4 linked regions of the Saccharomyces cerevisiae S288C genome follow. The protein of the gene in region 2 interacts with the protein of the main gene of each other region in a biochemical or structural test. Each region holds a gene or a part of one and is shown on either strand. Other genes may lie near its edges. The genes, in order: ARP2, LAS17, YSC84 and RVS167.

Evidence for each region.
Region 1: the proteins of LAS17 (region 2) and ARP2 form a complex in vitro, tested with the Saccharomyces cerevisiae proteins (4 studies listed by BioGRID, with this or other methods).
Region 3: the proteins of LAS17 (region 2) and YSC84 interact in a test that uses a peptide from one of them, tested with the Saccharomyces cerevisiae proteins (4 studies listed by BioGRID, with this or other methods).
Region 4: the proteins of LAS17 (region 2) and RVS167 interact in a test that uses a peptide from one of them, tested with the Saccharomyces cerevisiae proteins (4 studies listed by BioGRID, with this or other methods).

Annotation. Positions count from the first base shown.
Region 1 is NC_001136.10:394,933-402,431, forward strand, and holds ARP2 (actin-related protein 2), read left to right. Parts: upstream 1-4,407; coding exon 4,408-4,429; intron 4,430-4,552; coding exon 4,553-5,706; downstream 5,707-7,499. Other genes in the region: ATP-dependent RNA helicase DBP10, read left to right, coding at 1-2,272; SF3a splicing factor complex subunit PRP9, read left to right, coding at 2,605-4,197; serine/threonine/tyrosine protein kinase MPS1, read right to left, coding at 6,065-7,499. UniProt on the Saccharomyces cerevisiae protein: Functions as ATP-binding component of the Arp2/3 complex which is involved in regulation of actin polymerization and together with an activating nucleation-promoting factor (NPF) mediates the formation of branched actin networks.
Region 2 is NC_001147.6:671,703-679,788, reverse strand, and holds LAS17 (actin-binding protein LAS17), read right to left. Parts: upstream 3,851-8,086; coding exon 1,949-3,850; downstream 1-1,948. Other genes in the region: SER1 (O-phospho-L-serine:2-oxoglutarate transaminase), read right to left, coding at 1-432; FYV12 (Fyv12p), read right to left, coding at 528-917; 40S ribosomal protein eS30 RPS30B, read left to right, coding at 996-998, 1,410-1,598; putative dodecenoyl-CoA isomerase DCI1, read left to right, coding at 4,622-5,437; cleavage polyadenylation factor subunit SYC1, read left to right, coding at 7,378-7,944.
Region 3 is NC_001140.6:133,754-141,318, reverse strand, and holds YSC84 (Ysc84p), read left to right. Parts: upstream 1-2,863; coding exon 2,864-2,910; intron 2,911-3,078; coding exon 3,079-4,438; downstream 4,439-7,565. Other genes in the region: argininosuccinate lyase ARG4, read left to right, coding at 1-1,308; YSC83 (Ysc83p), read right to left, coding at 1,468-2,625; MIP6 (Mip6p), read right to left, coding at 4,786-6,765. UniProt on the Saccharomyces cerevisiae protein: Essential for the organization of the actin cytoskeleton, fluid phase endocytosis and vesicle trafficking, together with LSB5.
Region 4 is NC_001136.10:1,247,024-1,254,777, forward strand, and holds RVS167 (amphiphysin), read left to right. Parts: upstream 1-3,162; coding exon 3,163-4,611; downstream 4,612-7,754. Other genes in the region: MUS81 (Mus81p), read left to right, coding at 1-959; CIN10 (Cin10p), read right to left, coding at 1,131-2,798; GTPase-activating protein SAC7, read left to right, coding at 5,514-7,478. UniProt on the Saccharomyces cerevisiae protein: Component of a cytoskeletal structure that is required for the formation of endocytic vesicles at the plasma membrane level.

The sequences.
Region 1 (7,499 bases), on a different chromosome or scaffold from region 2:
CCTCTTGACTGGTGGTGATTCCTTGGAAGAACAATTTGGCATGATGATGACCAACCCAGACGTTATTATTGCAACACCTGGTAGATTTTTACATCTGAAAGTTGAAATGAACCTCGATTTGAAGAGTGTTGAGTACGTTGTTTTCGATGAAGCTGATAGGTTGTTCGAAATGGGTTTTCAAGAACAGTTGAATGAATTACTTGCATCTTTGCCTACAACAAGACAGACTTTGTTGTTTTCTGCTACTCTACCTAATTCATTGGTTGATTTTGTTAAGGCTGGTTTGGTTAATCCAGTTTTGGTTCGTTTGGACGCGGAAACGAAAGTTTCAGAGAACTTAGAAATGCTTTTTCTATCCAGTAAAAACGCAGATAGAGAGGCGAACCTATTATATATTTTGCAAGAAATCATAAAGATTCCGTTAGCCACTAGTGAACAACTTCAAAAGCTGCAAAATAGTAACAATGAGGCAGATAGTGACTCAGATGATGAAAATGATCGCCAAAAGAAGAGGAGGAATTTCAAGAAGGAAAAGTTCCGTAAACAAAAAATGCCTGCAGCTAATGAACTTCCTTCTGAAAAAGCAACTATTCTGTTCGTTCCAACAAGACATCATGTGGAATACATTTCTCAACTCTTAAGAGACTGCGGATACTTGATTTCGTACATCTACGGTACTTTGGACCAACATGCTCGTAAACGTCAATTATATAATTTTAGGGCGGGCTTAACTTCCATTTTGGTTGTTACAGATGTTGCTGCAAGAGGTGTCGATATTCCAATGTTAGCCAATGTTATTAATTACACATTACCTGGTTCATCAAAAATTTTTGTACATCGTGTAGGTAGAACTGCAAGAGCCGGTAACAAAGGTTGGGCATATTCCATTGTCGCTGAAAATGAATTACCTTACCTATTAGATTTGGAGCTATTTTTGGGGAAAAAAATTCTTCTAACACCAATGTACGATAGTCTAGTCGACGTGATGAAGAAAAGGTGGATAGATGAAGGAAAACCGGAATATCAATTTCAACCCCCAAAGCTTTCTTACACAAAAAGACTCGTTCTAGGTTCATGTCCAAGACTGGATGTTGAAGGCTTAGGTGATCTTTATAAGAATCTGATGTCCTCTAATTTTGACCTTCAGTTGGCGAAGAAAACAGCCATGAAGGCAGAAAAACTTTACTACAGAACACGCACTTCCGCCTCCCCTGAATCTTTAAAGAGAAGTAAAGAGATCATTTCTTCTGGCTGGGATGCTCAAAATGCATTTTTTGGTAAAAATGAAGAGAAGGAAAAATTGGATTTTTTGGCTAAATTGCAAAACAGAAGAAACAAGGAAACGGTATTTGAGTTCACCAGAAACCCAGACGATGAAATGGCAGTGTTTATGAAAAGGAGAAGAAAGCAATTAGCGCCAATTCAACGAAAGGCGACTGAAAGAAGGGAACTATTAGAAAAGGAAAGAATGGCTGGTCTTTCACATTCTATCGAAGATGAAATTTTGAAAGGTGACGATGGTGAGACAGGTTACACCGTGTCAGAGGATGCCTTAAAAGAATTTGAAGATGCGGACCAATTATTAGAAGCACAGGAAAACGAAAACAAAAAGAAAAAGAAACCGAAGTCTTTTAAGGATCCAACTTTCTTTTTAAGTCACTATGCGCCAGCTGGTGACATACAAGATAAACAATTACAGATAACCAATGGGTTCGCTAATGATGCTGCTCAAGCGGCTTACGATTTAAATAGCGATGATAAAGTGCAAGTTCATAAGCAAACAGCGACCGTAAAATGGGATAAAAAAAGAAAAAAATATGTTAATACTCAAGGTATTGATAACAAGAAATATATTATTGGTGAAAGTGGCCAAAAAATCGCGGCAAGCTTCAGGTCTGGTAGATTTGATGATTGGTCGAAGGCAAGAAATTTGAAACCATTGAAGGTAGGTTCGAGAGAAACAAGCATACCATCTAACTTGCTCGAAGACCCTTCACAAGGTCCTGCTGCAAATGGTAGAACCGTCCGTGGGAAATTCAAGCATAAACAAATGAAAGCGCCTAAAATGCCAGATAAACACAGAGACAATTATTATTCGCAAAAGAAGAAGGTGGAAAAGGCTCTACAAAGTGGAATTTCCGTCAAGGGATATAATAACGCTCCGGGTCTGCGAAGCGAATTGAAGTCCACTGAGCAAATTAGAAAGGACAGGATTATAGCAGAGAAAAAACGTGCGAAGAATGCTCGTCCTTCCAAAAAGCGTAAATTTTAGATAGTTTAAAACCATCTAGATCTACAGATATATAGTTTACATATGTACCATAGCAAGAAAACAAAAATAGATAGCGAGTCCGTTCTTCATAATTCTTTGTAGTTCTTTGTGATTTCAGTATTTTGTCGATGTAAGTCATGTTCAATATTTTTTTTGTAGCGCATTTTATTCTAACTTTCCGATGAGGCAACAAAGAAGTGTTAAGTATCGGCTGACGAAGTGCAATAAAAAGTACTTAGTTATACGGTAGATCAAGAACCTTCGGTGAGCCAAGCGAGGGTGTATACATTCATTTAATTTTGCTTTAATAGGAGTAGGAGGGCATCATCTCAATGAATTTACTTGAAACAAGGAGGTCCTTGTTGGAGGAGATGGAGATTATTGAAAATGCCATAGCAGAAAGAATTCAGCGGAATCCAGAGTTATATTACCACTATATACAAGAATCGAGCAAGGTGTTTCCTGATACTAAACTGCCTAGATCATCGTTGATTGCAGAGAATAAAATATACAAGTTTAAAAAGGTTAAGAGGAAGAGAAAACAGATAATTTTGCAGCAACATGAGATAAATATTTTTCTTCGAGACTACCAAGAGAAACAACAAACTTTTAATAAAATCAATCGTCCAGAAGAGACACAGGAGGATGACAAGGATTTGCCTAATTTCGAAAGAAAACTACAACAGCTAGAGAAGGAACTGAAAAATGAAGATGAGAACTTTGAATTGGATATCAACTCTAAAAAAGACAAATACGCTTTATTCTCATCTTCTTCTGATCCATCGAGGCGCACAAATATATTGTCTGACAGAGCTCGAGACCTAGACTTAAATGAAATATTTACTAGAGATGAGCAATATGGTGAATATATGGAGCTGGAACAATTTCATTCTTTATGGTTGAATGTAATTAAACGGGGCGATTGTTCACTGCTTCAATTTCTCGACATCCTAGAATTATTTTTGGACGACGAGAAATATTTGCTAACCCCACCGATGGATCGCAAGAATGATAGATACATGGCCTTTTTGCTAAAGTTGAGCAAATATGTAGAAACTTTTTTCTTCAAAAGTTATGCTTTGCTTGACGCTGCGGCAGTTGAAAATCTAATCAAATCTGACTTCGAACATTCATACTGTAGGGGATCTCTTCGGTCCGAGGCAAAAGGTATCTATTGCCCTTTTTGTTCGAGGTGGTTCAAGACATCTTCCGTTTTCGAAAGCCATTTAGTAGGGAAAATTCATAAGAAAAATGAATCTAAAAGAAGAAATTTTGTGTACTCTGAATATAAACTGCATCGGTATTTGAAATATTTAAATGATGAATTTTCTCGAACGAGAAGTTTTGTTGAAAGAAAACTGGCATTTACTGCAAATGAAAGAATGGCAGAAATGGATATCTTAACACAGAAGTATGAAGCACCTGCATATGATTCGACGGAAAAAGAGGGGGCCGAACAAGTGGATGGTGAGCAGAGAGATGGTCAACTGCAAGAAGAGCACCTCTCTGGTAAATCGTTTGACATGCCATTGGGTCCGGATGGATTGCCTATGCCATACTGGCTATACAAACTGCATGGGCTTGACAGAGAGTATCGCTGCGAAATTTGTTCGAATAAAGTTTATAATGGGCGACGCACTTTTGAAAGACATTTCAACGAAGAAAGACATATTTATCACTTGCGATGCCTTGGTATCGAACCTTCTTCAGTATTCAAGGGCATAACCAAAATTAAGGAGGCACAAGAGCTCTGGAAAAATATGCAGGGGCAGTCACAGTTGACATCTATTGCAGCAGTTCCCCCAAAGCCTAATCCTTCACAACTAAAAGTTCCTACAGAATTAGAACTAGAAGAAGAAGACGAAGAAGGAAATGTAATGAGTAAGAAGGTCTACGATGAACTTAAGAAGCAAGGTTTGGTGTGAAATCTCTCTGTGATATGTATATTTGTTTGATAGATAGCAGTTGTATGTATTTATACTATTCTTAGTAATGACCTTATTACCCGTCTTGTAGAATTGAAAGGCGAAAAACAATTTGAGGACCCATATAATGGAAGAAAACGGACGTGAAAGTTAAATATACGTACCAGAAGACAAATCACAGTAATAAACTAACAAAACTATATAATAATAATGGACCCACATAATCCAATTGGTATGTTGTTGATATTTTTAGTGTTTGTGGAGGCAATTGAGCTCGGTGCCCCTTTTGGCTTTGCCTCTTTTGCATTTTAGTTCTTTTACCCCTATATTATTAATACTAACCATCTCGATATAGTCCTTGATCAGGGTACTGGTTTCGTCAAAATTGGTCGTGCTGGCGAGAATTTCCCAGATTACACGTTTCCTTCTATTGTTGGTAGACCCATCTTGAGGGCGGAAGAACGTGCCAGCGTTGCTACACCATTAAAGGACATTATGATTGGTGATGAGGCAAGTGAAGTTCGCTCTTATCTGCAAATATCTTATCCTATGGAAAACGGTATTATTAAGAATTGGACAGATATGGAACTTCTTTGGGATTACGCCTTTTTCGAGCAAATGAAACTACCATCCACCTCCAACGGTAAGATTTTACTAACGGAACCTCCAATGAATCCGCTGAAAAATAGGGAAAAAATGTGTGAGGTAATGTTCGAAAAATACGATTTTGGCGGAGTTTATGTTGCCATCCAAGCTGTTCTAGCATTGTACGCACAAGGTTTGTCTTCAGGAGTCGTCGTCGATTCCGGTGACGGTGTTACTCATATAGTCCCAGTTTACGAATCTGTCGTTTTGAGCCACTTAACAAGAAGATTAGATGTTGCGGGTAGAGACGTTACTAGGCATTTGATTGATCTGCTTTCTCGTCGTGGTTATGCATTTAACAGAACTGCAGATTTCGAAACTGTGCGTCAGATAAAGGAAAAATTATGTTATGTTTCATATGATTTAGACCTAGATACAAAATTGGCTAGAGAAACAACCGCCCTTGTGGAATCGTATGAGTTACCAGATGGCAGGACAATCAAAGTGGGACAAGAGAGATTTGAAGCACCAGAATGTTTGTTCCAACCTGGTTTGGTTGACGTTGAACAACCTGGCGTGGGCGAGCTGTTATTTAATACTGTGCAATCGGCTGATGTTGATATCAGAAGTTCCCTGTATAAGGCCATTGTTCTTTCAGGTGGTTCAAGTATGTACCCAGGGCTGCCTTCGAGATTAGAGAAAGAATTGAAACAATTATGGTTTAGTAGAGTTTTACACAATGACCCTTCAAGACTTGATAAATTCAAAGTTAGAATTGAAGATCCTCCAAGGAGAAAGCATATGGTTTTCATTGGTGGTGCCGTTTTAGCTAGTATCATGGCTGATAAAGACCACATGTGGTTGTCTAAGCAAGAATGGCAAGAAAGCGGGCCATCTGCAATGACTAAATTTGGTCCAAGATAGATTTGAACTTTATTGATCCAAAAGAATTAATAAAAAAGTTTAAATCTACGAATGAAAAATGGAAATGGAATAATATAAACTTATATATAAATGTAATAAGTTAATAAGGCACAATTGTTGAACAAGCAATCAAAATATAATATTTCACTGAGCGCCGTTAGAGGATAGTTATCCTTTTCTTGGTATTTCAAGTATTCAGTGTCTGTGTCGAAAAATTGATTGATGATTTATTTAAATGAATATATATAAATATGTAAAAAAGAGTTGATCAAAGTAAATAAATCAGTACATGCATGGCAAACTCTAAATGTATTTATGTTCATAACTGGCACATGCTTTTCTTCCTTATGCGGCTCTTCTAAATTTTGTAATCTGCAAATTTCCTTAAAACAGTGTCTACCACATCATTGAGATCATCTTGTGATATATGAGGCTTCTCAGAGCCATATCTAACGGCATTCCTAATAAGGTCTTCCATAATCGATCCGGATATCATAAAAGGTTGAAGGAAAGTGCTACTCAGGACTTTATCCACAGTCCATCTTTTGTCTGGGTTCCTGTACAGACATGCTTTCATTAATTCAATGGCAGACTTTGGAATCTTTTCATTATTGCTAGTATGTTCAGGAAATGGGATTTTCACATCAGGATTCATAATAGCCAACAGCCTATTTTGGCCTTGGAAACTGCCATATGGGGGTTTCCCGTAAATCATCTGATATATAATACAACCGCATGACCACATATCAGATGGTCTCCCCACTTTCCACTTGTTTCCCTCATGTTGGTTCTCACTATTTTGTGTGTAATTCATAGCAACTAGTGCTTCTGGTGCCATATAATTTGGAGTCCCAATTTGAGTTTCACGATATATATTCACCGTATGTTCCGGTACCGCGTTTGCTATACCAAAATCAATGATTTTTAAGATACCTTTCACTAAAACAAAATTTGCAGGTTTTAAATCCGAATGAACTATGCCCGCATCATGAACTACTTTAATGCACAGCAACATTTCCTTTGTATAGAATCTAACAAAATTAAAATCCAGTGGCATGCCGCTTCTTTGGTTAAGGATTTGTGACAAATCATGATCACCACATTCCATTATCAAATACAATAAACCATCCCCCATTTCATAATCTAGTAGTTGGATTACACGCTTTTGGTCTTTCAATTTTTCCAGAAGTTCTATTTCTCCTTTGAATCCATCAATACTTGAATCGTCAAAAGCGTCAAAAGACACCCTTTTGAGCGCGTATACCCTATTGCCAGATCCTTTCACCTTGTAAACTCTGGAGGATCCACCTCTACCCAAAAGTTCTATTTTTTCGTACTGGGAGTCATTTACTGTAATTATATTTCTATTATTCGATAAAGAAGCGGACTTTGCAGGTTCAACAATTTCAACTTTCTTGGTGACTGGAGGTTTGGGAGCAGGTCGATGGTAAAATACTTCTAGATTTTTACTGTTTATATTCTCATTCGTTATTGCATCATCCAATGATCGTTTTAGTCTCTTATTCTCTTGTTGAAGGAGATTATCAGCGTGATTTGCATTTATGCTTATGTTTCGCAGTACTTCTCTTTTTTCGGAGTCGGAATCTTTATTTCTGGAAATTCCTTTATAAATTTTATGAATTGGGCTGTTGAAATTGCTGTTATTGCTAGTATCAATATTCTCCTTGAGAGCTCTTCTTATTTCGATCGATGACTTAGATGAAGATGATCCAGTAGAAACTTTTCGCCTGGGTTGAGAACCATTATTGGATGTTATAGAATTGTCCTTGTTT
Region 2 (8,086 bases):
TTTACCAAATTTGCCATTGTTATAATCTTTAGCGTTGAAGATAACTTCAGCAGGAACGTGCAATCTCTTTGCCTCTTCAAAAGATTTCTGAGACCAACTACCGGTGACTAAATAACCGGCAGGTGCAATCTTCCCATGCTTACCCACATATGCAGCTGCCAAATTAGTAGCAACGGAAGAAAAACCAGTAGTGCCACCACCTTGCAAGTAGAACACTTCATGAGTGTCAGGAATATTTAGCAGTTCGATTAAGTGCTTCTTAGAGTCTTCAATCACTTTGGTGGCATCCTTCGAACGGTGAGAAATTTCACCGATACCCAAACCTATGTCATTGAAATTGATTAAGTCTTTAGCAGCTTGTTGCAAAACTGGTGTAGGCATTTGAGCTGGCCCTGCTCCGAAATGTTGTGGTTCCTCTCTTTCCAAAGACATTGTTTCTTATCACTAATGGTTAATCGATGATTGATCAACTAATTAGACCTGTGTTGTTCAATTAAGTAATTTCAAAGGCTCCTTAATGTCTTTGTCTATTTTATGAAGGCACTTATATATATACATACATATAAAACGTATAAAAGAAAAGTAGTCATTAATTCGCGATGCTTAGAAAGAGTCACTACTTTTGGGCGTACAAGGTAAGAATAATTTGAATGGTAAGCTCGTGACCAAATTGTGGCTGCAGTTAAGGTGCCTCGGCCGGTGTCAGGTAAATTAATGCCGTCATCCGGGTTTCCTGTCCTTATTATGGCTTTTCTTTTGGGACCATACATCCGTACATATTGTGGACCCATTTCTTTTTCGCGCAGATGTTTTTTGCGTCTTCTGCTTAGCGGGCAAGGGTGACCGAGTTTCCCATCTATGCTGCATTTTCCTCCAATTAGTTTTGTCCCGTATTCACCATGGTGAAGTAATCTCATCCCAATCTTCAATATTAAGGATGAAGATTCTGAATTAGCACTCCTTCCTCAAGATACTAGATAAACAAATTATACAAAATGGTACGTTAATATTGTGTTAAAATGCTCCACGAAACGCTTTTTTTAGGAAACTTGTCCCCATACAGGAAGAAGGTGTATTAAAAGGGAAAACTACGATCAAAGTAATATTTTGAATAGGAAAGATTGCCCCATGATAATATTAATAATCCATCAAATGCCTGTAGATAATGACTGAAAAATGAAAAGAAAATAAAATATTGTATCATTATTATGTTGAGATGTAAATGTACAAAAAAGGAAGAAAGACGAGAATTTCAAAGGACGATTATTCTCGTTAATATTCACAACATGTTGAATATAGACCTTTCCTAAAAAATTAGCGTCTGCGTTGCAGTAACTCCATAACACAAGTCTGAATATCTCATTACTAACATTAAATGAAAAATTTTTTTTTTTTCAAATTCTCCTTAGGCTAAAGTTCACGGTTCTCTAGCTCGTGCTGGTAAAGTTAAGTCTCAAACTCCAAAGGTTGAAAAAACTGAAAAGCCAAAGAAACCAAAGGGTCGTGCTTACAAGAGATTATTGTACACCAGAAGATTCGTTAACGTTACCTTGGTTAACGGTAAGAGAAGAATGAACCCAGGTCCATCTGTCCAATAGATACTATCTAAAATTCTATACTTTTATTGTTCTACATGTGTAATTAAACAAAAATATTATAATTAGGAAATATTTACCCTTTTTACATGGGTTTTTGATTCGAACTGCTAAAATCTAGGATTTACTATACATCATTTTCTCAAACATTTGAAACGGCCATAGGGATGGCCATCATTGTAGCCCGACTATTACCTTGATCATTCAATCACTGACCGCCTTTGAACCTATATCAAAATTTCCTCCGATTAAAGAAACTATACATAAAAAGAGCAATTACTTTGATCATTAATAGTGAGTACATAAAATTACATATTTTCTATAACAGTAGTTTCATCTTTGTTTGCATTCCATTACCAATCATCACCATTGTCCATATCGTCATGAGCTCCCACTTTAGTTTTTCTTTTGTTTAAAGCTGCTGCCAACGCATCTGCTAAAGAAGCCGGAGGTCCACCAGGTGTGCCTCCATTTCCAGCCGCTGCTGGTGGTGAAGCAGATTCTCCACGTGCTTCCTGCAGTAAAACTGAGGGCTTATCTAGCTGCGATTTGTCAACTTTTCTCAAAGCGCCTATGCCACCTGCCCCTCTAATTGAAGCTAAAAGTGCATCACGACCTGCATCTCCAGTAGTTTCAGCGAATGAACCGCCTCCGGATGTTGATGTAGCTGGCATTTGAGGAGGTGGGGGTGGAGCTGGAGCTCCTCCAGATTGAGGTTGTTGAGTTAGGAATGCTGGTGGCGGAGGTGGTGCAGCACTCGTCGTCGATGGTAACGTTGGCGGAATAGGTGCTGAGGGTGCTGACTGAGGTATCTGCGACTGGCCTAAAGATGCCGGAGGAGGTGGTGGTGCCACTGGCACATTTGTGGCTTGCGAAGGTGCTTGAGTATTCTGAGGAAGGGGAACTGCAGGTTGTCCAGTTGCTGCAGTCATTTGTGGTGTCAGGGTATTGAAAGTTGTCACTGGAGGAGGGGGTGGAGATGACATGTTGCTATTTGTCTGATATCCAAAGGGGCGGTTAGAATTATTGTACTGTTGTGGATTTTGTTGCATCGTAACGTTTGGTGTGGGGCGAGATGCTCTTGGAGGAGGTGGTGGTGCTGGCCCTCTTCTTCCAGTGGCCTGTGGAAGGAGGCTATTTCCACCGGCAGAATTCAGGGTATTACTGGTTACGTGCCTATGTGGTGGAGGCGGTGGTGCTGGCCCACGCCTTGGCGGAGGTGGAGGAGCAGGTAGGCGAACACCTGAACCTTCAGTAGTGGTACGCATTGGCGGAGGAGGTGGCACAGGCCGATTATTTCTGTTAGGCAACTGTGGAAGGGGCCTATTCTGCTGTGGTATGCCCATTGAAGGAGCTTGATTAAACTGCTGCTGAGGTACCGGAAATGGAAATGGGTTTGTTGCAGACTGTGTCGAGGGAATTTCAGGAATTGGGAATGGAAATGGATTGCTTTGGGGTTGCGAAGGCGCGTTATTTTGAGGTGGAGAGTTATGTTGTGGAGGGTCTGGTAATGGCGCAAACTGATTTGGTAAAGGCGGTAAACTATGCTTTGGATGCGTTTCTTCTTTTCTTACTTCAGGAGATGCAGGAGGAAGAGCAGGGGCTGGGGTAGTCGGTGCGGATGCTGTTGTCGAATTGATATCGGAAAATGAACTTGTTTGGTCTGAATCAAATGTTTCGGCCGTTGGCGGAGGAGGGGGAGGAGCCTTATGCTTTGTAGTTGGAATTGTGTCCACATCTTCATAATTATATCTTTTCCTTTGATTGTCAATCAATGACTCCCCTCTTGGGCCGTGCACCACTTGAGATTTTTGTTCTTCTCTTACTTTCTTGGTTAATGCTACAGCATTTTTGTTCAACAAAGTTTTCCTGTTAGCATATCTTTCACGCTTTTGAACTCTCTTTAAAAAGTGCGATGCTTCATTAATATCTACAAACAATAAACCTGCAAAGCATTCTTCCATCTCAAATGTATGAAAAAAAGTACGGTCTTGATAGTATTCAAAATTCACATACAATTCTTGGTCCCAGATAACTCCTCTATGGCCATTGATGTCAACTAATTTCAAAAAAAAAGTATTCCCCACAAGATCGTCTACTAGAGCAAGAGCTCCTGAAAGTCCAGTGTACTGCCATTCATTTTTATCAGGGTATGCAATGTATAGTCGAGCCACCGTAACATCAATAATCTTATTCGACGCTTTTGGTAGAGCCCTTTTGATAATTTCCTTATCTGAAGAGTTTAGGAGTCCCATATTAAATCACGCCTATCAACACTTAAAGTAACGAACTGTAATTTGTAGCGGAGATGGCAATCGCTACAGCACTTCCTTTTCTACTATGTATATTCTACATTCAATATTTATTATTACATATTCATGATTTTTTTTCATAGGTATTGACTGGCCCCTTTTCGGACGTCTCGCACGTATTCAATGATCATATAAACTATTTGGAAAATTCAAAAAAAAACAACTATAAGATCAGTTAAGACTTATATCATAGATCTTTTAAACCAGAGACACAATTTCAAGTACCATGGGCAACTGCTTGCATTGCATTTAGTTTTGCCTTTTTTCTAATTGCAAAAGAAGAGTATTCCAAAACCACTTCTTTGATAAATCGTCCACGTCAGCCGGCGTTACTTGAAACTAAACGCATACTTTATGAAAAAGGGCCATCAACTTGTCTTTTTGTTAACATTCATTTTGAAAATATGAACTTTGGTATAATTGAAAATCTAGCATATCTATATTTTTTGAATATATTTAGGCGATAACTTAAAAAAGCATTGTTTCAGTTCTGAAGTTTGTTGCTTGTTTCTATTCTTTACTGGATGTCTGAAACCCCAAAAAAAAAAAAAAAAAAAGGACTCCACAAGTAGCGGCTGTAAGCGCGCTAAACTCCGACAGTGTATTATATATACGTAAACGATCCTGATAGAAAAATCCAATCCATTACCCCGGGATTATTTTATTACAGAGTAGGATTTTCTGGTGTTAAGTCTAGTGAGTTATCTTCTAACTATGAGCAGTCGTGTGTGCTACCATATTAATGGTCCCTTTTTCATAATCAAATTAATTGATCCAAAACATTTGAACTCTTTAACTTTCGAGGATTTTGTATACATTGCACTATTACTGCATAAGGCAAACGATATTGATTCTGTTTTGTTTACTGTTCTACAAAGCTCAGGCAAGTATTTCTCCTCGGGAGGTAAGTTTTCAGCAGTTAACAAGCTAAACGATGGAGACGTTACAAGCGAAGTGGAGAAAGTCTCAAAGCTGGTATCTGCTATAAGCTCTCCTAACATATTTGTGGCGAACGCATTTGCAATCCATAAAAAGGTTCTGGTGTGCTGTTTGAATGGACCGGCCATCGGACTTAGCGCATCGCTAGTTGCTCTTTGTGACATTGTTTACTCGCAAAACGATTCAGTATTTCTTCTTTTTCCCTTCAGCAATCTCGGTTTTGTCGCAGAAGTGGGAACTTCTGTTACCTTAACTCAAAAACTGGGTATAAATTCTGCAAACGAACATATGATTTTCAGCACACCAGTTCTATTTAAAGAATTGATAGGAACTATTATTACAAAAAATTATCAATTGACAAATACTGAAACATTCAATGAAAAAGTTCTTCAGGACATAAAGCAGAATTTAGAAGGGCTTTATCCGAAAAGTGTACTAGGTATGAAAGAATTGTTACACAGTGAAATGAAACAGAAGCTTATCAAAGCACAAGCAATGGAGACTAACGGAACCTTGCCTTTTTGGGCAAGCGGCGAGCCATTCAAAAGATTTAAACAGCTTCAAGAGGGAAACAGGCGCCACAAGTTATAATAATATAGCATTTAGAGATAGGATTTTAACATAAAAAATCTACTACACGATCATACTTCTGCAATTGTTAAATTCCGGGTTCTTTAATACTTTAATGTTGGCGCACAATATTTTATATCTGTTGTAAAATCCGCTTACAATATAAGTGAAATTGTTCCATTTTGTTTCATAGGAATTCTTACTCAAAAAGGATGTTTTTTAATATTCATATAATATTTACAAATAGCTCTCTGAAAAAAAGGATTTTTTTTTACACCTAATAAAACTGTCATTCATGTTAAGTAACTAAAGTGCTTCACAACTGTACTTAATGAACTGAATCAATTTCCTTGGCAATGCAAATTCTTCCAGACAAGAGGCGGCCGCGGCGGTATCTCTAGAAAATTTGGCAGCCGCACAAAAGGGTCCTACTGATGACGGGCTGGCAAACGGCGCTCTCCAAGGCACAAACTTTGTGACAAAATAGAATCCAGCGGCAGAGATCCGGATAAAAATGGGGGAGTGGACTTTCAAAAGCCGTACACCTCTTGTACTGAGGACAAATAATACAAGTTAAACTTGAATATTTAGATATGAGACAAAATGCTAACGCACATTCTCACTCCTAAATACTTAATTTCGAAGTCTGCGTTCCAAGATATGTAAGCCATCCATTCATACGGGATTGATGGAAAAGTCAGTAAATTTACAATACCCCTTTTATTCTGTTTGATGTGACAACTACTCGAAATCTGCGTAGTAATAAATATAACCAAAGGGAGTTCTAAAGAAGAAAAAAGGAACTCCCCAAAATAGGTCAACGATTACGAAAATTTTTATATGTTTGTTGGAAGTATTCGAGGAATGAAAAGAAAAATGGGTAGCAAACTGGGAATAACTGAAATAGAACCAAACGTCATCTTTTTAGAAAGAAAGGCATTCTTAGAATCATGATATGCCGTCCTTCGACCATATTGTGACCTAAGCTTTTTCTTCGACAATTGATACTGCATAATCGAAGGAGGATAAAAAAGTTGTTACGATAGTATTCCTTGAATGCACTTGGACTATATATACATGTTTATATTAGACGCATCTTTGACATTTTGCTTGCGCTAACCTTGCAGGTAAGGAGAGCAAAGGGAAAATGCATCGAAAAAAAAAAAATCGTGCTATTTTCGCTAATAACTATGCAAAATCAAGTGAAATGGTGTTTCTCGAAAAAGGTCACAAGCGCAACTTTATTTTCATGGTATATTCAGAATTTATTTTAATGATCGAAAAAAATTGGCCTAGCAAAGTAATCATTCAATAGTTTAAAGGCGGTTGCGGAGGATAGTGACAGAAAGAACTTCAGAAAAAGGTCCCTAGCCTAAAAGGAGCCATCACTATTAATGAACTCTATGAAGTTTCTGCTAAGAGAAAAGAATTTAGCCGATGTTTTGTTCAACTGCGACGCTTAGGGAAGAAAACATCGAAATATCGCAAGTTGTGTAACCCAGGCCACTCAAAGTCGAGTCTTTAAAAGTAGTGGTTTTATGCATATGTGCTGTTGTTGTTTTCCGAGAGGGATGCATATGAAATCTAGCCGAAAAGGCGATATCGTAGTATACAATGATTATGTATTTTTTTTGATTTTAATTTTTAGATAACCGACGATGGGGATAAAAGATATAAATCATAATGGTATCAAGCATCGTTGCTACTATGAAAAAAGACTTTATGTGATAAACATGCTTTATCTAATCAATTCACTTACTTCTTTACAAAATTCACTCATTCAACGATAGAATAAAATAGTCTCAAATTTGAGATTTTTTTTTTTAACTTCGGATGTTCTTCTTCGGGAAAGGAAGAAAGCAAGAAAAACAAGAAAAAAATAAGAGGAAACGGAGATAAAATTGCATGTCTGCACTATGACTGAACAAGAGCGGCTCACGTAATTTGCATTATAACGTAAAATGGATTTACCCAAGGACAAAAGTGACAGAACTCATCAAAGAATTAATCTAAATAACAGTGGGACAGATCGAACTAATGATTTGTACCTTCATATTGTCCAAACGTTCGGTTGCATAGAAACAACTGCAACGGAAAATGCCACGAAACTGTTAATGCTGGGTGACGTCGAAGTAGAAATATCTGCGAGCAGCGTTTCAATTGAGTGGACACAGAAGTCAATGATAAGCCAAACAATTGCCGATAGTATAGTAATAATGATCATCGGTTTGTGTGCAAGCGACAAGAACGTGCTATCTGAATCAGAATTGAAAGAGAGAAACCATAACGTTTGGAAGATCCAAGAATTGCAAAATCTGTTTCGAGAACAATTTGGAGACAGTTTTAGCATCGATGAAGGAATAGGAAAAAAAGAAAATGTAAAGAATGGTAGCGTCACCATAGGCAAGAGTAAAGCCACGATCGATTTCTCCACCATGAAGCTGATTGATTGTAATTCGAACCCACTAAAGGGAAGAGTGGAGAGCATACTAAGCATTGGCCAGAAATTAACAACTCCATTGTGCTGAACGTCATTACTTACCTTTTTATTTTCTTGTATGTGCTTTCATCTGAATTATTGGTGGATTATGTAACAAGTTGTTGAGTTTTCCCCATATAACTACTTCGCCAAGGAAATGGTAGGTGCGGGGGCGGAGAACGCAAACCAGC
Region 3 (7,565 bases), on a different chromosome or scaffold from region 2:
CCGTATGATTATAAGATGTATAAGGCAGATTTAGAAGGAACTAAAGTATACACAGCGGGCTTGCAGAAGTTGGGTCTTCTAACGGAGACAGAATTGGCAAAGATCCATGAAGGTTTGGCTGAAATCAAAAAAGAATGGGACGCTGACAAATTTGTCCGTCATCCAAACGACGAGGATATCCATACTGCGAATGAAAGACGTCTTGGTGAACTAATTGGCCGCGATATTGCTGGTAAAGTCCACACCGGTAGATCCCGTAATGATCAAGTTGTTACCGATTTGAGAATATACTGTCGTGACATTGTCAATGACACCCTCTTTCCAGCTTTAAAGGGCTTGGTTGAAGTTCTAATTAAGAGGGCCGAAGGTGAGATAGATGTCTTAATGCCAGGCTACACACATTTACAAAGGGCACAACCTATTAGATGGTCTCATTGGTTGAGCTCTTATGCAACATACTTCACCGAAGATTACAAGAGACTGGGTCAAATACTACACAGATTGAATCAATCACCACTGGGTGCAGGCGCTCTTGCTGGTCATCCTTACGGCATTGATAGAGAATTTTTGGCTGAAGGTTTGGGTTTCAATAGTGTAATTGGTAACTCCTTGGTTGCTGTTTCTGATAGAGATTTCATCGTGGAGTTGATGTTTTGGGGAACTTTGTTCATGAACCATATTTCTCGTTTTGCTGAAGATTTGATTATATATTGTACAGCAGAATTTGGTTTCATACAGTTGAGCGACGCCTATTCAACAGGTTCTTCTTTAATGCCTCAGAAGAAGAATGCAGACTCGTTAGAGTTGTTAAGAGGTAAATCCGGTAGAGTATTTGGTGATCTGACAGGATTCTTGATGAGTTTGAAGGGTATCCCATCTACTTATGATAAAGACATGCAAGAAGACAAAGAGCCACTATTCGATTGCTTAACAACTGTAGAGCACTCCATGCTGATTGCCACAGGTGTTATTTCTACCTTAACTGTAAATAAGGAAAAGATGGAAGCTGCTCTCACGATGGATATGCTAGCTACCGACTTGGCAGATTACTTGGTCAGAAAGGGTGTTCCATTCAGAGAGACTCATCACATATCTGGTGAGTGTGTCGCTACTGCTGAAAGACTTGGTCTAAGCGGTATTGATAAATTAACCTTGGAGCAGTATCAAAAGATCGATTCGAGATTCGGACAAGATCTTTTTGAAACTTTTAACTTTGAACAAAGCGTTGAAAGACGAGATGCTACTGGTGGAACCGCTAAATCTGCTGTATTGAAGCAATTGGATAATTTGAAATCCCAATTAAATTAGCAGATGGCGACGTTATGCGCAAGAATTTCATCAGGTCTGGTACTTCTAGGACTTCATCAACCCTTCTTTAAATACTTATTTTGTTATTAGTATTATATTTTCGAGATTGTGCTATGTATATATATACGTAGATAAGCAATTGTTATCTAATCAAGGATATTATTTGGATGATTTAGAAGATGACCGGCAAAAAAACGAAATAATGCTGCTATATACCTTGGCTAATCTTCCTCTCAAGCGTTTCAGGGAAAGACGTGTGTGATGGTTGAATATAAGTGAAGCAAATGGCCATGAGACTAAATAACTAAAACGGCCGCAATAATACACACTATTGTAACCTCCCAAAGTCGTTAACCAACTTAGCAGTTGTCTTAGTTTATACCCATTCGCACTCATTATCATTTTGTAAACTGGATAATGTAGGGCCTCGTGAATGTCTGAACCGGCCATTCTCAAAAATTTATAGTTCGATGGTTGTGACCCAATCTGCAGGATTCCAAGCTTGATTGTGGAAACATTTAACCTTTGATATTCCTTGAAAATTTTAAATAGTGAGTCGATTATTCCAGACGTTATAATTTCTGTACTATGATGGACTAAGTTCAGGTCCGCAGTCAAAGATGGATTGAACATAATTAGTTGGGTTTTTCTCTTCAAATGGGGTATAATGCTTAATAATGCTTGATAATACACAAATATACTTGAATGAATTTCAGATTCCAATGAGTCACATGAAATTACTCCGGATGGATGATATGATAACCTTGGCATAAACAATATGGATGCTAGCCTTGGTACATCAACAAAAAAACCCTCGAAGTCTTTTTCGCAGGTGGGATCAATGTAATATATGAAATCCTGATCTTCTTCGTGCTTCTTATAGACGTCTGCATTTTCAGTACAAATATATACTGTAAACCGTCTGCGATATAAATCCATCACTTGATTCCTTATGATAGGATCATTCATATCGCCCAGTATTAATACCACTTGAGATTCTGCTTCAGGTAAATTAGGTGGCAGTTTAAAAAAGGTCCTATACCCAAGGTATAAGCACAGGGAGGTGGCAGAAATTCCCAAGCCTAGCTTCCAATGATCCTGGAGCCCGATCCTCAAAGTTTTATATACTTTAGATCTGTTACTGTCGTTTTCCTGTAGTCGAGGAGTCTCCTTGTTGGATATCTTTCCAGATATGGATTCAATTGATTTTTCGACGTGGTTCTTGATCTCATCGCTCAAGACAGCGCTTTTCGAGACGAGCCAATACCCAGCATCAAATATCTGATCCACTATATCCTTACCACCAGACCAAGCCATTTTTATTTGTTTTTTTGAGAGCAAATATCTTCTGTTGTCTGTTTTATATTTCCTGTTTGTATGCCACCTACAACATTTTTACATGTTCCGACGCTGACCGAAAACGACCTGAAGGGAATTAAAGTTGACTACCCCCTAACTAGACCCTGTTCTTAACATTATCTATAACATGAAACTATCTTACACTTCACAGTAAAATTTTCAAGAGTAGTGGTAATATCAAATCCAAAATCCAAAAATGGGTATCAATAATCCAATTCCTCGAAGCTTGAAAAGCGAGACCAAGTATGTTCATATATATGCTTCCTGCTGCCCCTCCTCTAAACTTATGGATGCAGCTAAAATGTTCAAGATAGCTCTCTAGTCTGTGTCCATTGCTTATGGGGCATGAGTTTTCAAAAGTAATGTACTAACAACTTTATGATTGATTTATTTCGAATGTTTTAACTACAGGAAGGCCGCGAAAGTTCTAAGGAGTTTTGTTAAACCAAATCAAGTATTTGGAGCAGACCAAGTTATTCCACCATATGTGCTAAAAAGAGCTAAAGGTCTAGCAATTATCACGGTTTTAAAGGCTGGCTTCTTGTTTTCAGGGAGAGCAGGTTCTGGGGTGATTGTGGCCAGGTTAAAAGACGGTACATGGTCGGCTCCCTCTGCTATCGCTATGGCAGGTGCTGGTGCAGGTGGTATGGTCGGCGTTGAATTGACAGATTTTGTTTTTATTTTAAATTCGGAAGAGGCAGTGAGGTCCTTTTCTGAATTTGGTACAATTACTTTAGGTGGTAATGTGTCAGTTTCCGCAGGTCCTCTTGGAAGAAGTGCAGAAGCTGCAGCTTCTGCATCCACAGGTGGTGTCTCGGCAGTTTTTGCCTATTCCAAAAGCAAAGGTTTATTTGCCGGTGTGTCTGTGGAAGGTTCAGCCATCTTGGAGAGAAGGGAAGCTAATCGAAAGTTTTACGGCGATAACTGTACATCAAAGATGATTTTGTCAGGTAGAGTAAAAGTTCCACCAGCAGCAGACCCCCTACTCCGTATCTTGGAATCAAGAGCGTTCAACTTTACACGCCACGACCATGATGACAACGCTAGCGGTGATGATTTTTATGATGACGGTCAATACAGCGACAACACAAGCCATTATTACGACGATATTCCAGATTCCTTTGATTCTACTGATGAATCCTCAACACGTCCAAACACAAGATCATCAAGAAGAAGAGGAATGTCGCTGGGGTCACGCAGTCGTTATGATGATGATTATGATGATGATGGTTACGGACGTGGTCGCGGGTATGGAGATTTTGATAGCGAAGATGAAGATTATGATTACGGAAGATCTCCAAATAGAAACAGCAGCCGCAATAGAGGCCCACAGATAGATAGGGGTACTAAGCCGCGTGCGAATACCCGATGGGAAGATGATTTGTATGATAGAGATACTGAATACTCCCGTCCCAACCATTCCGGTAGGGATTATGATAATACCCGAGGAAATAGGCGTGGTTATGGTAGAGAAAGGGGTTATAGCCTTGGTCATGGCCCAACTCACCCCAGCAATATGAGCAATGTCGATGATTTATCACATAAAATGTCGAAGACAGGGTTAGGTAATGAATCCACTGCTACAAATTCGGCGACACCAACGGCTGTTGCTCTCTACAATTTTGCTGGAGAACAACCAGGCGACTTGGCTTTCAAAAAAGGTGATGTTATTACTATCTTAAAAAAATCAGATTCTCAAAATGATTGGTGGACAGGCAGGACTAACGGAAAAGAAGGAATATTCCCTGCAAACTACGTTAGAGTTTCTTAAATTATCGTCCTCCATATGTCTCGTTCCTATATATAGAATTTTTTTTTAGAGTTATGAAGTTGAGGATGGGTTCCTTATTCAGCTATGTTTACGAAATGTTTGTAGTTATATAATCACAATGGAAAGCTTCGAGGAACCACTTCTTAAGTACTCACTTAGTAGGTGGAGTATTTCTTGAAACTGGACTATACGCCATTAAACTAAAAAAAAATCGAGGCTGAAACTCCTTGGAATAATTCTGGGTAGATTAAGATAGCAAAGAAAACAATACTCTATTTTTATAGACATACGTACTTTTGTACCGAAAATTGCATATTGATGAACCTGCCTTCTTCCTTTAAAAGGAATCAAACTGTAAATCCGAGGCTTTCAGCAGCTCTAGTGACTTGTTTTTGTAGAATTTTCTGTGATTCTAATGAAGTATTTGTCATTAATAAAAAGTGCGATAGCCTTTCTGAGTCATGCTCCCAAAATACGTCAAAAATAAACTCGGAAATGCTGCGCAGATTTTCTTCTTTATTTAAACCAGAAATACTTATACGTTGTAAATTTCTGTTTATAATTTTTTTTAAGGACTCAAGTATTTCTGCATTCTCCTGTTTAGTTCTCTTAGGCTGATGCAGTTTTTCGTCAACAGTATTTGTAATTAAATTAAATGCTGGATGAGGTTTCATCGGCGTAGCTACGAGAGAGTTCATGTTTGTGTAGGAATTTGAATATGATGAGAATGGGGAAACTACTTGTTGAAACTGTGACGTTAATCCCTTTTGATGAGCTGATAACTCTTGTGTGCGGAAACGCATCATGGAACTAATGTTGATTAATTTCTTATAATTTTCATTGTTGTTACCATCGTCATAGTCTATCTCATTTAGTATATTATCATTATTCTTTGACCATGATGCCTCAACCAAACTACTTCCAATTAGTCTCCTATCCAAAATATTAAATAATCTCTCAGCATCACTACGAGAAAAACACTCAACATGTCCACAAAATGTCCAATTTAATGAGTTATAGTTTGTGATCTTAATTTCACTGAATCTTATTTTTTCTTGTAAACATAGTTGAGAAATAAACTCCTTATTGCAATTGAAGCTTAAATTTTTTAGATAAACCTTTGTTTTCTTGTTCGTTCCAATTTGATTATGAACAGGCTTATCTTTACCAGGACCAACCCAAATGGTATGGTTTTTAAAAATTGTTTTATTCAAACATTTCTGTGCCTTTTTAGATTCTTCTTCATTTTTATATGTGACGAACGCTTTATGTGGTGTGTTCGCCTGCTTTTCAGAGATGAATACAGATTTTATGGGGCCAATAGTGCTGAAGTAATCCAAGACCTCTTCTTGTGTTGTGTCAGATGGTAAATTTTTGACTAATATTGTTTTCGAACGAGCATTATCTGATAAATTATTGCTAGCCAATAGTTCGTCTTCGATAACTATGTCGGAGCCAATCATTTTTTTTCTTTTTGTAAATTCAGGTCTAGTTCTTACTTCTTTGTCAAAATGCAATCCACATATAATTTTATTTCCAAAAAATTCTTGGTTATTGTATTTTTTGATTACATTTCTAGCAGAAATATCGTTATCGAAATAAACGAACCCAATGTTTTTTCTTCTTTCTAGAAGACATGACAGTACATTTCCGTACTCGATCATTATTAGATAAAATGATCTTGTGGTCAGTTGGGGATTTTCCAGTGGTAAGTTAGAGAAAAAAACATTTGTTCCGATGTTTTTTCTAAATAATGTATTTTTCATAGATGGCATTATTTTAACTTCTTGACCAAAAAAAACCGTATAATTAAATTCTTTCCTTGCAGATTCTGCATCGTTTTTATCCTTGAAATTCAAATAGCCATAACCCAATGATTTTTTGGTGAGAAAATCACGACACACTTTAGCAGATTCAAAAGATTGATACCTTTTGAATATCTTCCTTAGCATTTCTTCAGTGACAGTTGATTTCAGATTTCCTATAAACAAACTATTTGTCTTTGAAGTTTTCGTGATATATTTTTGCACGCTTCCCTTTGCAACAGTTTTTTCAAATACTTGCTCTTGTTCTTTCTTTTCTTGAGTTGCATTTTTACAATCGTATTTTTTGAGGCTATTCTTTTCTTTGACTTCAGCATCCTTTAATTTCACATCACCGAGCTTATATCCAGCTCCTTGCACGCGTACTAGTGCTTGGGCTGATATCGTTTTGAAGCTTTTCTGCCTTGCATCTTTATCATTTGGGCAACTTTTAGAAATCGATCTGGGATTTTGCTTGCTATTTAAAGAGATATTATTCAATACATTACCATGAGAGTTTGGCATCTTTTTTTAGGGAATTTTTCGTATTTCTGCTTTTATTGACTTGGATAATTCATTATGTTAAGTAAGCTCTAATTGCTAAAAATGCCATAAAAAGAAAACTTATTGGAAAAGGACCGCCATTTCGAACGGAATTTGTGACACAAGTTCATTTTAGCAAAAAAAGGTCCTACCCGGATTCGAACCGGGGTTGTCCGGATCAAAACCGAAAGTGATAACCACTACACTATAGGACCGGAACTTACTGGTCGATCTGAAAATCATGATCGAATACGTCATCCTTGCATTACCCAAAATCAATCAATTTTTAATGAAATACATCAAATTTTGATTGTTGTTATGAAACTTCAAAATATCATCCGTTTATTAGTACTCACGCTACTAGTTTATTGTCAAATAAGTTGTAAGAAGATGGCATAAACATTGAGAAACAGTCATCAATTCTAATGAAAGCAGAAATGCAAGGATTGACAATGTAATAGGGTAATGAAAAATATAGAACGGAAGGAGAAATAATCATAATAACCTTATGTCGAAATACAGATTCTGAGAATTAGGTGAATTTTGAGATAATTGTTGGGATTCCATTTTTGATAAAGGCTATTATATTAGGTATACACAATATACTAGAAGTTCTCCTCGAGGATTTAGGAATCCTCAAAATGGAATCTATATTTCTACAACCTAATATTACGATTATTCCTCATTCCGTTTTATATGTTTCATTATCTTATTACATTATCAATCCTTGCACTTCAGCTTCCTCTAACTTCGATGACAGCTTCTCATAACTTATTTCATCA
Region 4 (7,754 bases), on a different chromosome or scaffold from region 2:
CTGATGATCAAACAGTACCTGATTCCGCATTAAAGGCTAAAAGCACAATAAAGAGGAGAAGGTACAACGGAGTAAGTTACGAATTGTGGTGTAGTGGTGATTTCGAAGTTTTCCCAATTATTGATCACAGAGAAATAAAGTCACAATCTGATCGTGAGTTTTTTTCAAGGGCATTTGAAAGAAAAGGTATGAAGTCAGAGATAAGGCAACTCGCTTTGGGTGATATTATATGGGTTGCCAAGAATAAAAATACCGGGTTGCAGTGTGTGCTCAACACCATAGTTGAAAGAAAAAGGCTAGACGATTTAGCTTTAAGTATAAGGGATAACAGGTTTATGGAGCAAAAAAATAGGTTAGAGAAATCTGGCTGTGAACACAAATACTATCTCATTGAGGAGACTATGAGTGGCAACATTGGAAATATGAATGAGGCCCTAAAGACCGCGCTTTGGGTCATTTTAGTGTATTACAAATTCTCCATGATAAGAACTTGCAATTCGGATGAAACTGTGGAAAAGATACATGCGTTGCATACTGTAATTTCTCATCACTATTCTCAAAAAGATCTCATAGTTATATTTCCAAGTGACCTTAAAAGCAAGGACGATTATAAAAAGGTGCTTCTACAGTTTCGTCGAGAATTCGAACGAAAAGGCGGTATTGAATGCTGTCATAATCTTGAATGCTTTCAAGAACTAATGGGAAAAGGCGATCTAAAGACGGTTGGTGAGCTAACTATACATGTTTTAATGCTTGTTAAAGGTATATCTTTAGAAAAAGCAGTAGCCATCCAAGAAATATTTCCTACCCTGAATAAAATACTAATGGCATATAAAACGTGCTCCTCGGAAGAAGAGGCTAAATTGTTGATGTTTAATGTACTGGGAGATGCACCTGGTGCGAAGAAAATTACTAAATCTCTTTCAGAAAAGATATATGATGCTTTTGGTAAACTTTAGCAATTTGAAATATAGTCATCCCTGCAAGGTTTTATAAAGAAAAAAGTGATGATATTCTTTTAACTAATATATACATATATAAGAAAAGAAGCCTTAATTTCTCACGGACAAATATACCAGAAGCATATCTGAAAGCCGCCCCAATGCATTATGATGCCACTTGACAACTCATCAATGGTAGGTACGAAAGACATAATGAACATCAATTCCATTATCAAAAACCCTTCCAACCTCTTCCAGTGACAAACCTTTGACTTCTGGATACCAAAAATATACGAAAAACCAGGCACAAACTGTGAAAAAAGCAAAAATGAGCATTGTATTTTCATCACCAATGGTGTTAATAGTGCTCAGATATGTCATTGAAACAAATGCATTGGTCAACCAATTTGTGCAGGCTATACATGATGCCCCAAATGATCTCCTGTTCAAGGGGAGAAATTCCACACAGGTCCATGGAACGCTGCCCATCGCAGAAGCATATGCTGCAACATAAATTACAACAGAAATTAAAAGTAAATTGACTTGGTCATGACCGAAACCTACACTGCAAAGAAGTAACCCAACAGTCATAATCAAAATTGTTCTCAAAAGAATGGCTCTTCTTCCCAAAGAGTCCATGGTGTACATGGCGAAAAAAGTGAATATGAAGTTCGTTGAGGCAATCAAAATTGGAGGCAGTAGAGGGTTTTTTATATTAAATTTGGAAAATATTATTGCCGCATAGTACATAAAAGCATTAAAGCCAGTGATTTGCTGGAAAAACATTAACATGCAACCTACTATTAACGCTCTTATTGTGCGTGGCTCCATTCTGTGTCTTTTCTTTTTGTTAGATGCCAGGGCACCGTTTGGAGCTGGGCCTCGCAACGCCGATAGATATGCTGATGAGGAGGACATTGTGTTGCTAGTTCTTTCTGTGTTCGAGGAAAGTCTTTTAATGTTAGGTGGGCTAAGAGTTCCTGAGGTTGAACTATCCATGTATCGAATAACCGATTGGGACTGTACTAGTAAAGGTTCACTTGCATCTTCGTATAGTCGTAACTTATCGAGTTCAATTATCAGCTGCTTAATTTTACTATTCACATGATATGTAGATGCAGTAGGATATAGCATTCTTAGAGAATCCCTGGTATATAGAATGTCTCCCTTGGAAATGGACCATCGTGGCGATTCAGGGATAAAATCCAGTATTGAAAGGAACAGAATAGCTGGAATAGCAGAAAGTGCGAACAAATATCTCCATGAATTATCAATCTCTTTCATAAGGGACGCAATCACATAGGAAACCAATTGACCTCCAGTGATGGCAATAATGTTCAATGTCAACATAAAACCCCTGATTCTGGAAGGTGAAATTTCACTCAGAAATAGAGGGACGCACTGGGCAGACACTCCAACAGCGATCCCAACCAGCAATCTCCCACAAATCAAAAACGTCAATGTTCTTGCTATAGCCATTCCAATTGCAGCTAGGATAAAAATTGAACAGCAGATTGCGAGAGTAATTCTTCTTCCATACCTATCTGCTAAAGGAAATGCCAGAATAGAGCCAAAAAATGATCCGACGCTTGTACTGGAAGTTATCAGCTCCTTCTGAACATCCGTTAAAACTACCAAAGATAGATCTTCGGGCTTTAAAGAAAGCAGAACACCTGATATAACACCAGTATCATAGCCGAATAAAAGCCCACCAATGGTAGCACCAACGAAGATTAACGACGTTTTGAACGTTAAAGCATATGGGAGTTGCTCGATGTCATTGGCAGTATTGGATGTTACCTGGGAGATAATGGAATACAGATCAGAATAAACGTCTTCACTTTCATCTGTAGACATACCTCTATCAAGTTTTGACTTTCCTGTCGCTTGCCTGTACGCTTTTGTTTTCTACTGAGAAAAGATACTTTTTGACCATGGACTATAAGTGCACGCTACAGTTGCACATATAAGGTTGTATATAGTTCAAGAAGTTCCTTTCGTATGGAAATTTTGTTATGTATACCTTCCAGTTGCTATGGTAGTCTACCTGACTAAATTATCAATCCGACCGATGTTCGGATGTTGCGATAATATTGGTACCGGAAAAAAAAAAGGAGAGGGCTTTGTAGTGTCGATGTTTAACAACCTGTTTTAAGGAATAAAGTAAAGTGAGGCTCACCTGGTCATTTAACACCAAGAATCAAGGAGCCAATAAGTGCACATGAGTTTTAAAGGGTTTACCAAGGCTGTTAGTAGGGCTCCTCAGTCCTTCCGTCAAAAGTTCAAGATGGGTGAGCAGACAGAGGATCCTGTTTACGAGGATGCAGAACGTCGTTTTCAAGAATTGGAGCAGGAGACAAAAAAATTAAGTGAGGAATCGAAGAGATACTCGACTGCGGTGAATGGAATGCTGACACACCAAATTGGATTTGCCAAATCCATGGAGGAAATTTTCAAACCTATCAGTGGTAAAATGAGTGACCCTAACGCTACCATACCAGAGGACAACCCACAAGGTATTGAAGCAAGTGAACAGTATAGGGCAATTGTCGCAGAATTACAGGAAACATTGAAACCGGATCTGGCTTTGGTGGAAGAAAAAATTGTTACGCCATGCCAGGAACTGTTGAAGATTATTACTTATATTCGTAAAATGGCCACCAAGAGAAATCACAAAAAATTAGATTTAGATAGACATCTAAACACTTATAACAAGCATGAAAAGAAGAAGGAACCAACCGCCAAAGACGAAGAAAGATTGTATAAAGCACAAGCTCAAGTGGAAGTGGCTCAACAAGAATATGATTACTATAACGACTTGCTAAAGACTCAATTACCAATACTGTTCAGTTTGGAAGCTGAATTTGTGAAACCATTATTTGTCTCATTTTATTTCATGCAATTGAACATTTTTTACACTTTGTATAATAGACTTCAAGACATGAAGATTCCATATTTTGATTTGAACAGTGACATTGTAGAGTCGTACATTGCCAAGAAAGGCAATGTGGAAGAACAAACGGACGCCTTGACTATTACACACTTTAAACTCGGTTACTCTAAGGCAAAATTGGAGATGACCAGAAGGAAGTATGGTGTAGCAACCGCCGAAGGCTCACCCGTCAGTGGCGCATCAAGCGGTGTCGGATATGGTGCTGGGTATGATCCAGCAACTGCCACTTCTCCAACCCCTACAGGATACGGTTATGGTGCCGCAGCACCAAGTTACGCCGCTCAACCTGCTGCCCAGTATGGTACTGCTGCCGCCGTTGGTACTGCTGCTGCTGTTGGTACTGCTGCTGGTGCTGCTGCTGGCGCTGTTCCGGGTACTTATCCACAGTATGCTGCTGCGCAATCTCCACCGCTCACTGGGCTAGGCTTCCAACAATCACCACAGCAGCAACAGGGACCACCACCGGCCTACTCTAATCCTCTAACATCACCTGTTGCGGGCACACCAGCCGCGGCCGTAGCGGCAGCTCCTGGCGTTGAAACTGTTACCGCATTGTATGACTACCAAGCTCAAGCTGCTGGTGATTTGTCTTTCCCTGCCGGCGCAGTTATAGAAATTGTCCAGCGTACTCCGGACGTGAACGAATGGTGGACAGGAAGATACAATGGCCAGCAAGGTGTGTTTCCTGGGAACTACGTGCAACTCAACAAGAACTAGAGGAGGCCCCTGCATCCCTCTGTATTCATTACCTTCTATTGTGAGATGTTACCATTACCTTTTTCTTTTATTGTAATGTTTCTTAATTTAAATACTATATAGGGTAATTCATCCTTCCACCAACAAAGTATCGTTTGAGTCTATCTATTACGGGCATGCGGCGAGCATATTACCCTACTGACAATATCCCAAAAGGGAAGGAGCGCGTTCCCAATAGGGCTGCCACCTTCCCAATATGGTACAAAGCCTACCATATGGGGAAATCAGTTTTCTCGCTCACCTCGCCTAGTCTTCCTAAAACGACGTTCCTCAGTCTCCTTTCTCTTTTATAAAACACCATCTCTGTCTTGTCGATGACACAGCCCAGTTGGGAAACCGGTGCTGACAAACAGGAAAAAAGCAAGACTAGTGGCCTGGCGCGGAAGAAACTGAGCTACATTGCACAACATCTTCAAGCAGGGTGTACGCATTCATTACTTTAATACTAAATTTAGAAGAAATCATCCTTTTTACTCGCGAAACTGTTAGGCTTGATCGGACGATCTCAGAAGAGGAAAAACAAATTGATAAAGTCTTCGTTAGGTTTCCTAGAATAGCAGGCCCGTTACAAAAAATTTTTTTACCCATTCCACTGGTTTTATTCACTAGTGACTTGAAAACTCCACATATTTTTGATCTCTTAAGCTTTCACGCATCACAAAGTTATCAGAACAAATTTTCTCCAGAAAGTTATATTGCAGTGTTCAAAAAGCCGTTCTCATTTCACAGCAATTTTTTTCTAAAGTAGAGGGGCAGAGAAATTAGCCTTCACAAGTTTGCTTTCGAGCTTCCAATTTGATTCCTGCTTTGGTCTTACTTTCATCCTCTCAATACCACTAAGATAAACTAAAAATATCTTTATAATGCCAAATAATACTCTTAAACAAGGCTCCAAAATTGAAAATGTTTCTCCCTCTAAAGGTCATGTCCCAAGTTTTTGGAAGCAGTTCATAAACAACCCTAAGAGTATGTCATCCGAAAATATTACAGTCCCTAGATCACCAACTTCTCTTTCAAGGAATGCTCAACCAACTACTTTAAAACGGCCTCCATTATCTTCAAGACCATATTCATATAATACCCCAACCAAAGATAGGAAATCCTTTTCCAAATCCGCGAAACAGAACAATAACAATAACAACGCTAATTCCGGAACATCGCCTCACGCAGAGTTCAAAAATTACAGAGATATGTTTTTATCTAATAGAAATGGTTTCACAGGTAGGGTTTTCGGTGTTACTTTAGCAGAATCGTTGAGCGTCGCCAGTGCAGAGGTCATTGTTCAAAGTGAGTTGGTGAGTTTTGGTCGGATACCCATCGTGGTAGCCAAGTGCGGCGCATACTTAAAAGCAAATGGATTGGAGACCTCGGGTATATTTCGTATAGCGGGCAATGGTAAAAGAGTAAAAGCCCTTCAATACATATTCTCGTCGCCACCTGATTATGGTACCAAATTCAACGATTGGGAAACATATACAGTGCACGATGTTGCATCGCTCCTGAGGAGATACCTTAATAATTTGGCCGAACCACTAATACCTTTATCCCTATATGAACAATTCAGAAACCCGCTACGATCTAGACCAAGAATCCTAAGGCATATGTTGACCCACGAAGTTTCTCATCCGAATGCGAATAAAACAAATAATGTAACAGTAAAATCAAGTAGACAGAACTATAATGATGATGGTGCTAATGATGGTGACATCGAAAAGGAGGACGCTAAAGATGATGAAGAAAAAAGACGAAGAAAAATACGTCATAAGAGAAGGCTGACCCGCGATATAAGGGCAGCTATCAAGGAATATGAAGAGCTCTTTGTTACCTTATCAAATGACACGAAACAGCTAACTATATACCTACTCGATTTACTGAGTCTTTTTGCAAGGCAATCACAGTTTAACCTAATGTCTGGTAGAAACTTGGCGGCCATCTTCCAACCTTCAATATTATCGCATCCTCAACATGATATGGACCCCAAAGAATACGAGTTATCCCGACTAGTAGTGGAATTTTTGATTGAATACTCGTACAAGCTATTACCCCATCTTTTGAAGTTGGCTAAAAGGGAACAACAGGAACGGTTGTCAACCGAAAATAAGAAAAATAATGGAGATAAACAGAAAACTGATCCTATAGAAATACCAAAGATCACCTCATCGGATTCGCCACCAATAGTTTCTTCCAATAAAAACCCACCGGCGATTGACAATAACAATAAACTAGACCATACGACGTTATCGCCAATATCTACTTCGATACCGGAGAACTCATCAGACCTACAGACTTCAAAAATGTTAAAGCCTCCGAAGCAAAGAAGACCACACTCAAAATCGTTTGGTTCTACTCCGGTTCCTCCGGATGTTATTGCTAGTAATAAAAGAAGAACGAGTTTATTCCCGTGGTTACATAAACCGGGAATTTTGAGTGACACAGGAGACAATGGCGACTTAACTGCTACTGAAGCTGAAGGTGATGATTATGAAGAAGAAAATGTTGATCCATACGGTCAGTCTCCATCTAGCGTACACTCAGGTTCTTTGCCCAAACAGCATTATCTGCCAATTCCTCGAATGAACAGATCGTTGAGTGGAAACAGTACCAATTCGTCCTTTAACACTAGACCTATTTCAATGATCCTGACCAGTGGTAATGATAATTCCGCTGATCAATTAGAATTACTAAGTAACACTCATAGCAATAATGAGCGCAGTAATGCTTTACCATTAACCGAAGATGATGGGGATGAAAGAAATTCAAGATCACGCAAGAGGGAATCATGGTTTCAAAGACTAACAAGCCGTTCAGGCTCTGCTAACAGGGCTTGATAACACCATTTTTCTTTCCTTTTAATTTCCTCATTTTTTTTTTTTTCGTTATTTCCCTTAAAAACCTGTTGGCGGTTTTCTTTCTTTTTCTTTGCCTTCTGTATAAATAACAAATAAACATCATTCCCCTTTCAAGATTTATAACCATAAAGGGAACATATATAACATAAATCATGAAGAGGACAAATTACGGACAATTATTCTGTAGCGATGCTAATCAGTATAAAATAAAAGAATAAAAATTCTTAAGTTGTTAATATGCCAGAGAAATGTTAC